Linked DNA regions of Rattus norvegicus. The protein of the gene in region 1 purifies or fractionates together with the protein of each later gene. This does not show direct contact. Links are inferred from orthologs where the notes say so. Each region holds a gene or a part of one and is shown in the gene's direction. Other genes may lie near its edges.

The links. The genes of interacting proteins can lie anywhere in the genome.
Region 2: the proteins of Eif4a3 (region 1) and Srsf3 purify together in Homo sapiens (affinity purification with mass spectrometry; 3 studies listed by BioGRID and IntAct, with this or other methods). This does not show direct contact. The link is inferred for Rattus norvegicus from reciprocal best matches to the Homo sapiens genes EIF4A3 and SRSF3.

What each region holds. Positions count from the first base shown.
Region 1 is NC_086028.1:105,054,653-105,058,917, reverse strand, and holds the start of Eif4a3 (eukaryotic initiation factor 4A-III), read left to right. Parts: upstream 1-1,356; 5' UTR 1,357-1,416; coding exon 1,417-1,585; intron 1,586-3,191; coding exon 3,192-3,264; intron 3,265-4,265. UniProt on the Homo sapiens protein: ATP-dependent RNA helicase. Involved in pre-mRNA splicing as component of the spliceosome. Core component of the splicing-dependent multiprotein exon junction complex (EJC) deposited at splice junctions on mRNAs.
Region 2 is NC_086038.1:7,100,077-7,103,723, forward strand, and holds the end of Srsf3 (serine/arginine-rich splicing factor 3), read left to right. Parts: exon of another isoform or gene 1-720; intron 721-767; coding exon 768-806; intron 807-965; coding exon 966-1,052; intron 1,053-1,139; coding exon 1,140-1,167; 3' UTR 1,168-3,441; downstream 3,442-3,647. UniProt on the Homo sapiens protein: Splicing factor, which binds the consensus motif 5'-C[ACU][AU]C[ACU][AC]C-3' within pre-mRNA and promotes specific exons inclusion during alternative splicing.

The sequences.
Region 1 (4,265 bases):
CTCTAGTTGTTACATCTGATGAAGTAAAACAGTGAGATGAAACAGCGTTTTAAACAGTAACCACAAGCTATAATTACTCATTTCAACAGACAGTATGAAATGGAGACTTTACATTCTTTTCTTGGGATGTCATTAAAATCCCTGTGTCTTTTACAGCCAAGATTGCAAAACAACCCTTCGAGTCAGGCTTGCAAAAAAACAAAACAAAACAAAAAACGGCATGAGCACGTGGACTAAATCCTCATTGAGTGAGAAGGCATGAGAACTGGAACTTGGCCAACTCTATGCCTTTAGTGCTCTGATTAATACCACATGTATTATATGGTTTATCTGGTCTGGACAAATCCTGATACCAGAGCGGGAGCTGAGCTCTCAAAGAGAAGGCAGTAATAAAGAACTTGTTTTAACATGGGTACATTGCAACCCACAACTTCTCCATGAAAAGATCTGGTTGTAACTAAACTTATCGACATGAGTCTTTCACAGTAGCTTTTAAAGACTTGTTTGAGTATTTGTGTATTTGCGTGTGTGTACACACCACGAGTGTGGCCCCCACAGAGGCTGGAAGCACTGGATCGCCTGGAGCTGGAATATACAGGCTGCGTGAGTCACACGGTCTAAGTGGCTGGAACACAATCAAGGTTCTCTGGAAGAAGAGTAACAGCCCTTAACAGTTTAGTCATCTTTCCTCAAAAGCAGAAAAAAAGAAAGAGGCCACATGCAAATGAAGTTTTGCTAGAACTCGGGTTACGACTCGAAATTACAGGGGTCCTGGGATCCACTCTCACAAACAGAAAGACATGCCCCAAATAGCAAGGCCCTTTTGGAGCCTGCGTTGAAAATCAGGATCCTCCAGAGTGACTGGGGTCACCACGCCGGGTCAGAGGCTCTAAAGGATTCTCGGATGTGATGGCAGCTTGGGCGTCCCCTGCTCTCCCAGGCAAAAACATCTACCCACTCGGTCTCCACCGATTCCTCCCATCCACCACCCCGGGAGAGCAGCTTGATTCTCCCAGGTCGCCACGCTATGGTTGCCATGGCAACGCAGTCAGCAGCGCTGGAGCGCGGAGCCCACAGGACAGTGCCCTCTTCCTTTGCTCTGTACCTTCAGGGACACCTTGGCGTCACTCTTGCTCCTCCCTGAGACCCACATCCCTATCCCAAGTAGGCTGCAGACACCCAGAAGAGACAAGAGTATGCAGAGTCACGGACATCCAGAGACTGCCAGCCCAGTCCCTCGCCGAATCCCGCGGAGCACGGAATATCGCGAGGCTTGGAGCGCTTTGCCTCCCACCCCTCCTGACGCTCTTCCGCGGCGCTGTGTTTGCGTCACTTCCTCCCGACCGGGCCGGCGGCGCGAGCCTTGTTTCCGGTTCCCGCCGCAGCTCGCAGTTGTCTATTAGTGGGGTCGGGATCATGGCGGCCACGGCCACGATGGCGACGTCGGGCTCCGCGCGGAAGCGGCTGCTCAAAGAGGAGGACATGACCAAAGTGGAGTTCGAGACCAGCGAGGAGGTGGACGTGACCCCCACGTTCGACACCATGGGCCTTCGGGAGGACCTGCTGCGCGGCATCTACGCCTACGGTGGGGCGCGGGCCTCGGGGAAGGGGAGGTTGGGGGACGGGCCGCTTCAGACCGGGTGGGGAACGTGCGTCCGAGCTCCAGAGCTCGGGGTTCCCCGGTGCTGCAGTCAGCCAGGCTCCTCCAGTCGCTCGTGTAGCGGATAGCCATGTGTGTGTCCCTGTGAGGTGCCCCGAAGCTTTGATGGGGAAGTCGGGGCTCCAAATCTGGTGCGTTCGTGCCTTGTGGAGTTTAAAGCTTCCTAAGGAAGCGGGAAATACGAAGCAAGGGTGCTTCAAGCGGTGAGAATTGGGAAAACAAGAGAATGAGCGACTGGATAGAGTAGATAGATTGATAACGGTGAGTTAAAAGAGCCGAAAGAGAGCTCCCAGAGGCGTTCAGAATCCCCAGGGGAGAGGGAACAACTGGTCCTGGCTTCTTGAAGCCATTGCCTGACGAGTGCCAGGAACATAAGAAAGAAACCCCTCGTCATGTTTTAAAGGCATGAGTAAAGAATTTGAGATTCACTCCTAAATACAGCGGGGAGCCAGCCACCGCAGAGTTCTGAGCAGAATCGATAGGATCAGGCTTACCGTTTGAAAGTTTATTTTGGTGTCTGGATTTGGAGTTAGAAGAGGAGGCGGGGTGATGGCCGGACCATAGGAGAGATGGGGATGTTATTGTGGAGCTAAAGGATCTGCTGGCAGCAGATGCAGTGCATTCCTGGCTTTTTTGAGTGAATGGTGGGTCATGCTGTTGGTATTTGCTTAGGAGCATTTGAGGGAGGCCGAATGAACTCTTTTTGTTTCTGCTTTCTTTGTTGTTTTGCTTTTTGTTTTGTTTTGTTTTGTTTCTCCATGTACCCCTGGCTGTCCTGTAACTCTTAGTAGACCAAACTGGGCCTCTAACTCAGAGATCCCCTGCCTCTGCCTCCCAGATGCTGGGATTAAAGGTGTGCGTCACCAAGATGTTTAACAACATCTTTTCTTATAAATCCTATCTGCTTATTTGGAAAATACTTGTGTTTTCATTGTTTGTTTTGTTTTAAGACACAGTCTCTCTACCTAGTTCTGGCTGGTCTGGAACTCATTCTGTGAACCAGGTGGCCTGGAATTCACAGAGATCCCCCTGCTCAGCTTCTCCTGCTGGGATTAAGGGAGTGCACAGCCTTGTCCAGTCTTTCATACTGTTCTCCTTGCTAGTAGTGATGGCCCAGCAGGTGGGTGGTCCCTTGATGATGGGCCTTCGTGCAAACAGGAGAGCAGCACAGGGCGTCTCCCCATGCCTGTGCAGGCTCAGTACTCGGGAGACACCACCAGCTGGGGTTTGAGTGCTTGGTAGCAGGAAAGGGCAGCAACTGCAGTGCTTCTGGGTTTGTGCTTTTGCTTGTAGAGCGGGTTTGGTGTGGCTTAGACTGGCCTTGAACTCCTGATGCTCCTGCCTCTGCCCTCCAAGTGTTGGTGTAGTGGGTAGCATCTTGACAGGTAGTCCTGTAGGCTGGTCTGTGAAGATGTGCTCAGCTCTGCCTGTGTTGCCTGGGATTGGCAGGAAGGAGCAAGTGTGTGTTCCCCAGGTAGTTCATGCCGTCACAGTCCTGGGGAGTTACAGTGTTTCCTCTTTGCATTTCTAGGTTTTGAAAAACCTTCTGCGATCCAACAGCGTGCTATCAAGCAGATAATTAAAGGGAGAGATGTCATTGCACAGTAAGTTGTGGGCGCTGAGAGCGAGTTGGGTCCTCGGGGAGAGCTGTGGGGAGCTGAGCCTGCCTTATTTATTTATGCCGACTTGTTTTTGGATGTGTATTCTGGGTCCTATGGAGGTCATTGCACACACTACGCTGATGTAGCCCTAGGTCCTGAATGTAGATCTATGGATTTGTGTAAAGTACTTTTTCATTAGCTTTCTTTTCTTTTTCCTTTGAGACAGGGTTTCTCTGTAGACCAGGCTGGCCTCCAACTCAGAATTCTGGCTGCTATTTGGATTAAAGGTGCATGCTAGGTACAGAGCCCAGGGCCTTCTCTACTACTGAACTATAAATGACCAGTTATCCTTTACATCATACTTCAGACTTTAGGAGCTGGTGCATTAAAGGGAGAGGTCCCCTTTCTGCCTCCTTTGGGAAGTTCTTGTTGGCGTTGCAGTTTCTTAGTTCTGGTGTCCTGGTGTAGAAGCCCCACATCCATTCTGTCTGTAGCAGTTTGTCTCTCTGGGAGCTGTGGAGATCGCTCGCTCTGTTCCCAAGTTCAGTTCTTGGTACCCACACTGAGTGGCTCAGAGCTGCCTATAACTGCAGCCTCAGGTCCAGCATCCTCTTCCCGGCTTTGAAAGAAGTTTCACACATGTTCAGTCACACAGATAAGTAAAGGTGAAAAATAAGAATAAGAAGTGACCTTGTACTTTGGTCTCCCACTGTTGGAGTTAAGATGTTTGGGAGAGTGTGAGATTAATTCATGGAGTTTCTATGTCCTCCTTGTTCTCAGATAACTGCTGGTGTTTCTAAGCCTGCTCTAGCCTGGTGTTTTATTAACAAGCCGTAAAGCTTAAGCTGGCCAGGTTCTGAGACTCTCACCTGACTAGGCTGCTGACACCGGACACATGCCCTGTCACCTGCTGTCTGCTCTGGTCCATGTCTCTCCTCATGGTTTCTCTATACCTTCTCCCTGTGGTTTCCTCACTTCCTCCATTCCCCCTCCCCTCCTCTGGT
Region 2 (3,647 bases), on another chromosome or scaffold:
ACGTACAATATATTGCTTGAAACAACTTTTAAGGGTGATAGGGAACTCATAATGTGACTAGACCTTCAAGTGAGCTTATGTGCATGTGTGAGATGCCAAACTAAAATTTAATATCTCTAACAGATTTCAGCTTTTCTTCCTAGCAAAATTTTGTTGAATCCTATCACCTTTAAATGGTTTTACTAACAGTTTTCAAAGTTTAAAAAAAAATGGGGGTGAAGTGTGGGCCAAGCTACGGTAATTTTGATAAGCCTAAACACACTCTTAAATGTGACATCACAAATGCAGTTCTAATGTAGCACTAAATGGCATCGATGTTTACCACACCCACCGCGTTTTCACAAAATTACACTATTCACCTGGTACTTAAGTCTTGTTAGAGACTTAAAGGTTTTGCATGGGTTCCAAATACTGGTTTATGGTACAGTTTTTGGAACTACTTGTGGGACTACATTTTGGTGTGGTGTTGTGGGGTAGTGGAGTTAGTTTGACATGAAGTTTTGCATTGGACAGATCTGCTGTGAAGCATTCTTTGTTAAAATGAATCCATGGTTGGAATACCTGCTTTTCACTTGAGCTTTTTGTTCCTTAATCCTTCTGTGCCCTTTTTTTTTTTTTTTTTCTTTTCTTTTTTTATTTTTGGACGATGAGTGCCAGTTCTCCGGCACATTCACTGGGCCCAACAGTGAAATTGAAAAGTTGGGAAATGCCTCAACGCCACATACAATAATTGACAATTAGTCTAATTTTACTATTTCTGCTTTTAGATCCCCAAGAAGGAGAAGCTTTTCGCGAAGCCGGAGCAGGTAAATGTTTTGGTGCCCTGTTCTTAGAAATGGAAGCTTAACTCTCTGGCTAGTAATTACAGTGACAAGGGTACCATACAGTCAGCACTAAGTTAGACTGAGCTAGACTTTCTTCGAGGTGAATTTCTGATAAACTAATGTATCTTCTGTTTGCTTTAGGTCTCTTTCTAGAGATAGGAGAAGAGAAAGGTCTCTGTCTCGTGAGAGAAATCACAAGCCGTCTCGATCCTTCTCTAGGTCTCGTAGGTAAGATCAATGATTGAAGTATTGAAGATATGTATATGTAATCTGTGTACTAAGATAATGTTTAATTTTTTTCTTTTGTTTTTTTAGCCGATCTAGGTCAAATGAAAGGAAATAGAAGACCAGTTGGCAAAAGTGGTGTACAGGAAATAACTTCATTTGACAGGAGTATGTACAGGAAATTAAAGTTTTGTTTGAGACTTCATAAGCTTGGTGCATTTTTAAGATGTTTTAGCTGTTCAAATTTGTTTTGTCTCTTGGAACAGTGACACACAAAACGATGTAATTCTCTATGGTTTCAAATGGATCATATGAGGCATGTGATATTAAGAATTGTTACTTTACAATGTTCCCTTAAGCGAGATTGAATTTTCTTTGAATTTTAGTTTTTCATAGACTGAAATAAACCTAGATCCTGCCCAGTTTGAAGTGATGTACTGATGACGTCAAGCACCTAGCGGAAATGGACTAAAGCTGTAGTTCCCCTAGTGGCTGAGACACAGTGTGGCACTGTGGGTGAAATGGTGAGCAGCCTTTAAAGGCTGCTGTGAACACAACCAACAGATAAAGGGTAGGAACCACACTCTGAAGGTTTTCACAGTGGTTCCTTCCTGGTTGCTGTATGGGGATGCAGAGCTGTCTAACATCTTTATTTGGAAATGTAAAACTAAGATACCAGTGTCCTATCAGTTTAAGGGTACATTGTAGAGCTGAACTCAGTTACTGTGCAAGATTTTTTTTCATGCTGTCATTTGTAATATGTTTGTGAGAATCCTTGGGATTAAAGTTTTGGTTACAAATTGTTGTTTAACTTGAAAGCCTGTTTTTCCTTGCACACTCAAAATCTGTGAGCTTGGTATCAAGTCCAGGTATAACATTCCTATTGGAAACCATACTTATATTTTCTTGTAAAGTGCTTTTGAATTAATAAAATACTAGCATAATTGTGTAGTAAGCAGTCAGCTGAGTGAACCCCCATTGCTCTTATCCCTGGAAAGCAGTTGGTTACCCAGTTCGTTCTTTGTAAGAAACAACTGAGAGGCACTGCGTTAGCGAAGGAATTTTCCCCCCTTTGCTTGTCACCTATGAGAGCCATGTTTTGGGTGTGGAAGTCAGTTCAGGATCATGGCAGTTAGTGACTAACATTTTATAAAGCACCAATCTATGACACACTGTAAATCCTTTAAGTTGCCCTTAAAAAGTGGCTTTGATCTTCAGCATGAAGTCATTGACATTCAACAAAATTTTATAATTCGTTCCATTTTATAACTTGAGGTGTTGCATGGGATTCCAGATTGATCCATCATGATGTAAAATCCACACTGGTTAATTGTGATGATGCACAGTTGAATATGGAGGCATGTAAACCTTTTCTCTTAGAAATCTGGAGGAGCTGTGGTTCCAGGGGGTTTTTTGTGTGCAATTAGATTAAATCATAATGCAACAGTCTCGTGGCTTAAGTTTCCTTAAATGTGTTCTTTTGAGATAGTTTTTGGGATTCCACTGTACTGACTTTGTCTTTGTAAGATGCCATTGCACAAGGTTCAATCTGTAAGCTTATAAATCCCCCAAAATTTGTTATCTTTTTACAATAAATTTCAGTAAGAAAGGAGAGAATTGTGTTCAGAAGGTTCCAACATGAGCCTTTGAAAGAGGTAGCCATATTCAAAGAAGATACTTTAGATTCCCTGTTAATTGTTAGGAGTGCGCTTTATCCTTCAGGGTAGGGTTGGAGTCAAGCCTGTTCCTTGTAATTGTAGGTCACATTAGCTACTCTTTTTTTTTTTTTTTTCCGGAGCTGGGGACCAACCCAGGGCCCCACATTAGCTACTCTTGATCGTTTTCTGAGTGTCATACTAAGTTAGGGTGACTGCAGGTGTTTCCTGGAGGTCATTATTAGTGACTGAGAAAGGCACCTGAGATTGGGATTCTCTTTTCATTGTGGGTCACCTCAGAGGTACATACTTTACAGCACGGTGTAGGTGCCCGCCCTTTACCATCCAGGTTCCTTAAGTGTCATGGTGGCATCTCCACCCTGTATTGGACCATAGGCACTGACCGAGGCATGAAGCTGAACAGGAGATCTTAGTAATTGTTTTTGACTCTCAGCCTCACTCTGGCATGTTGCTGCTTAATTAGAAATGAATGGTGTTGCTTATAGAAGTCTAAGGTGCTGCATGTATAGGTGAGAAACGGCCATAGTCTCCCCAGTCACTGCGTTAGTGCCTTGTCTTAAATGGGCTTTGCCTTTCTTAGTCCAGATGGGACTTTGATACCAGACAAGTCATCTCTTCCAGTGTATATTTTTTGTACTGCCAGACTGTTGCCTTCTGGTTTTCTTTTGGGGGAGGGACAAAAAAGATTTTTATTAAAGACACTGACTTTAAGCTGGGTTGGAGTATATTATGTGTATTGTGTCTCCATCCATGTACAGCACTTTATAAATGAGCTATGCTTGCCACAGGGCTCAATAGCACTGGTGAGGGAGGAGGAGAGAGGGCAGAGTAGAGTTGCGAGTACTGCCTGTTCTCTGTACAACTGCTGCTTGTTAAGGTTTAAGTTCATCTCTAGAGGATCTGACACCTTCACCTGTACCAG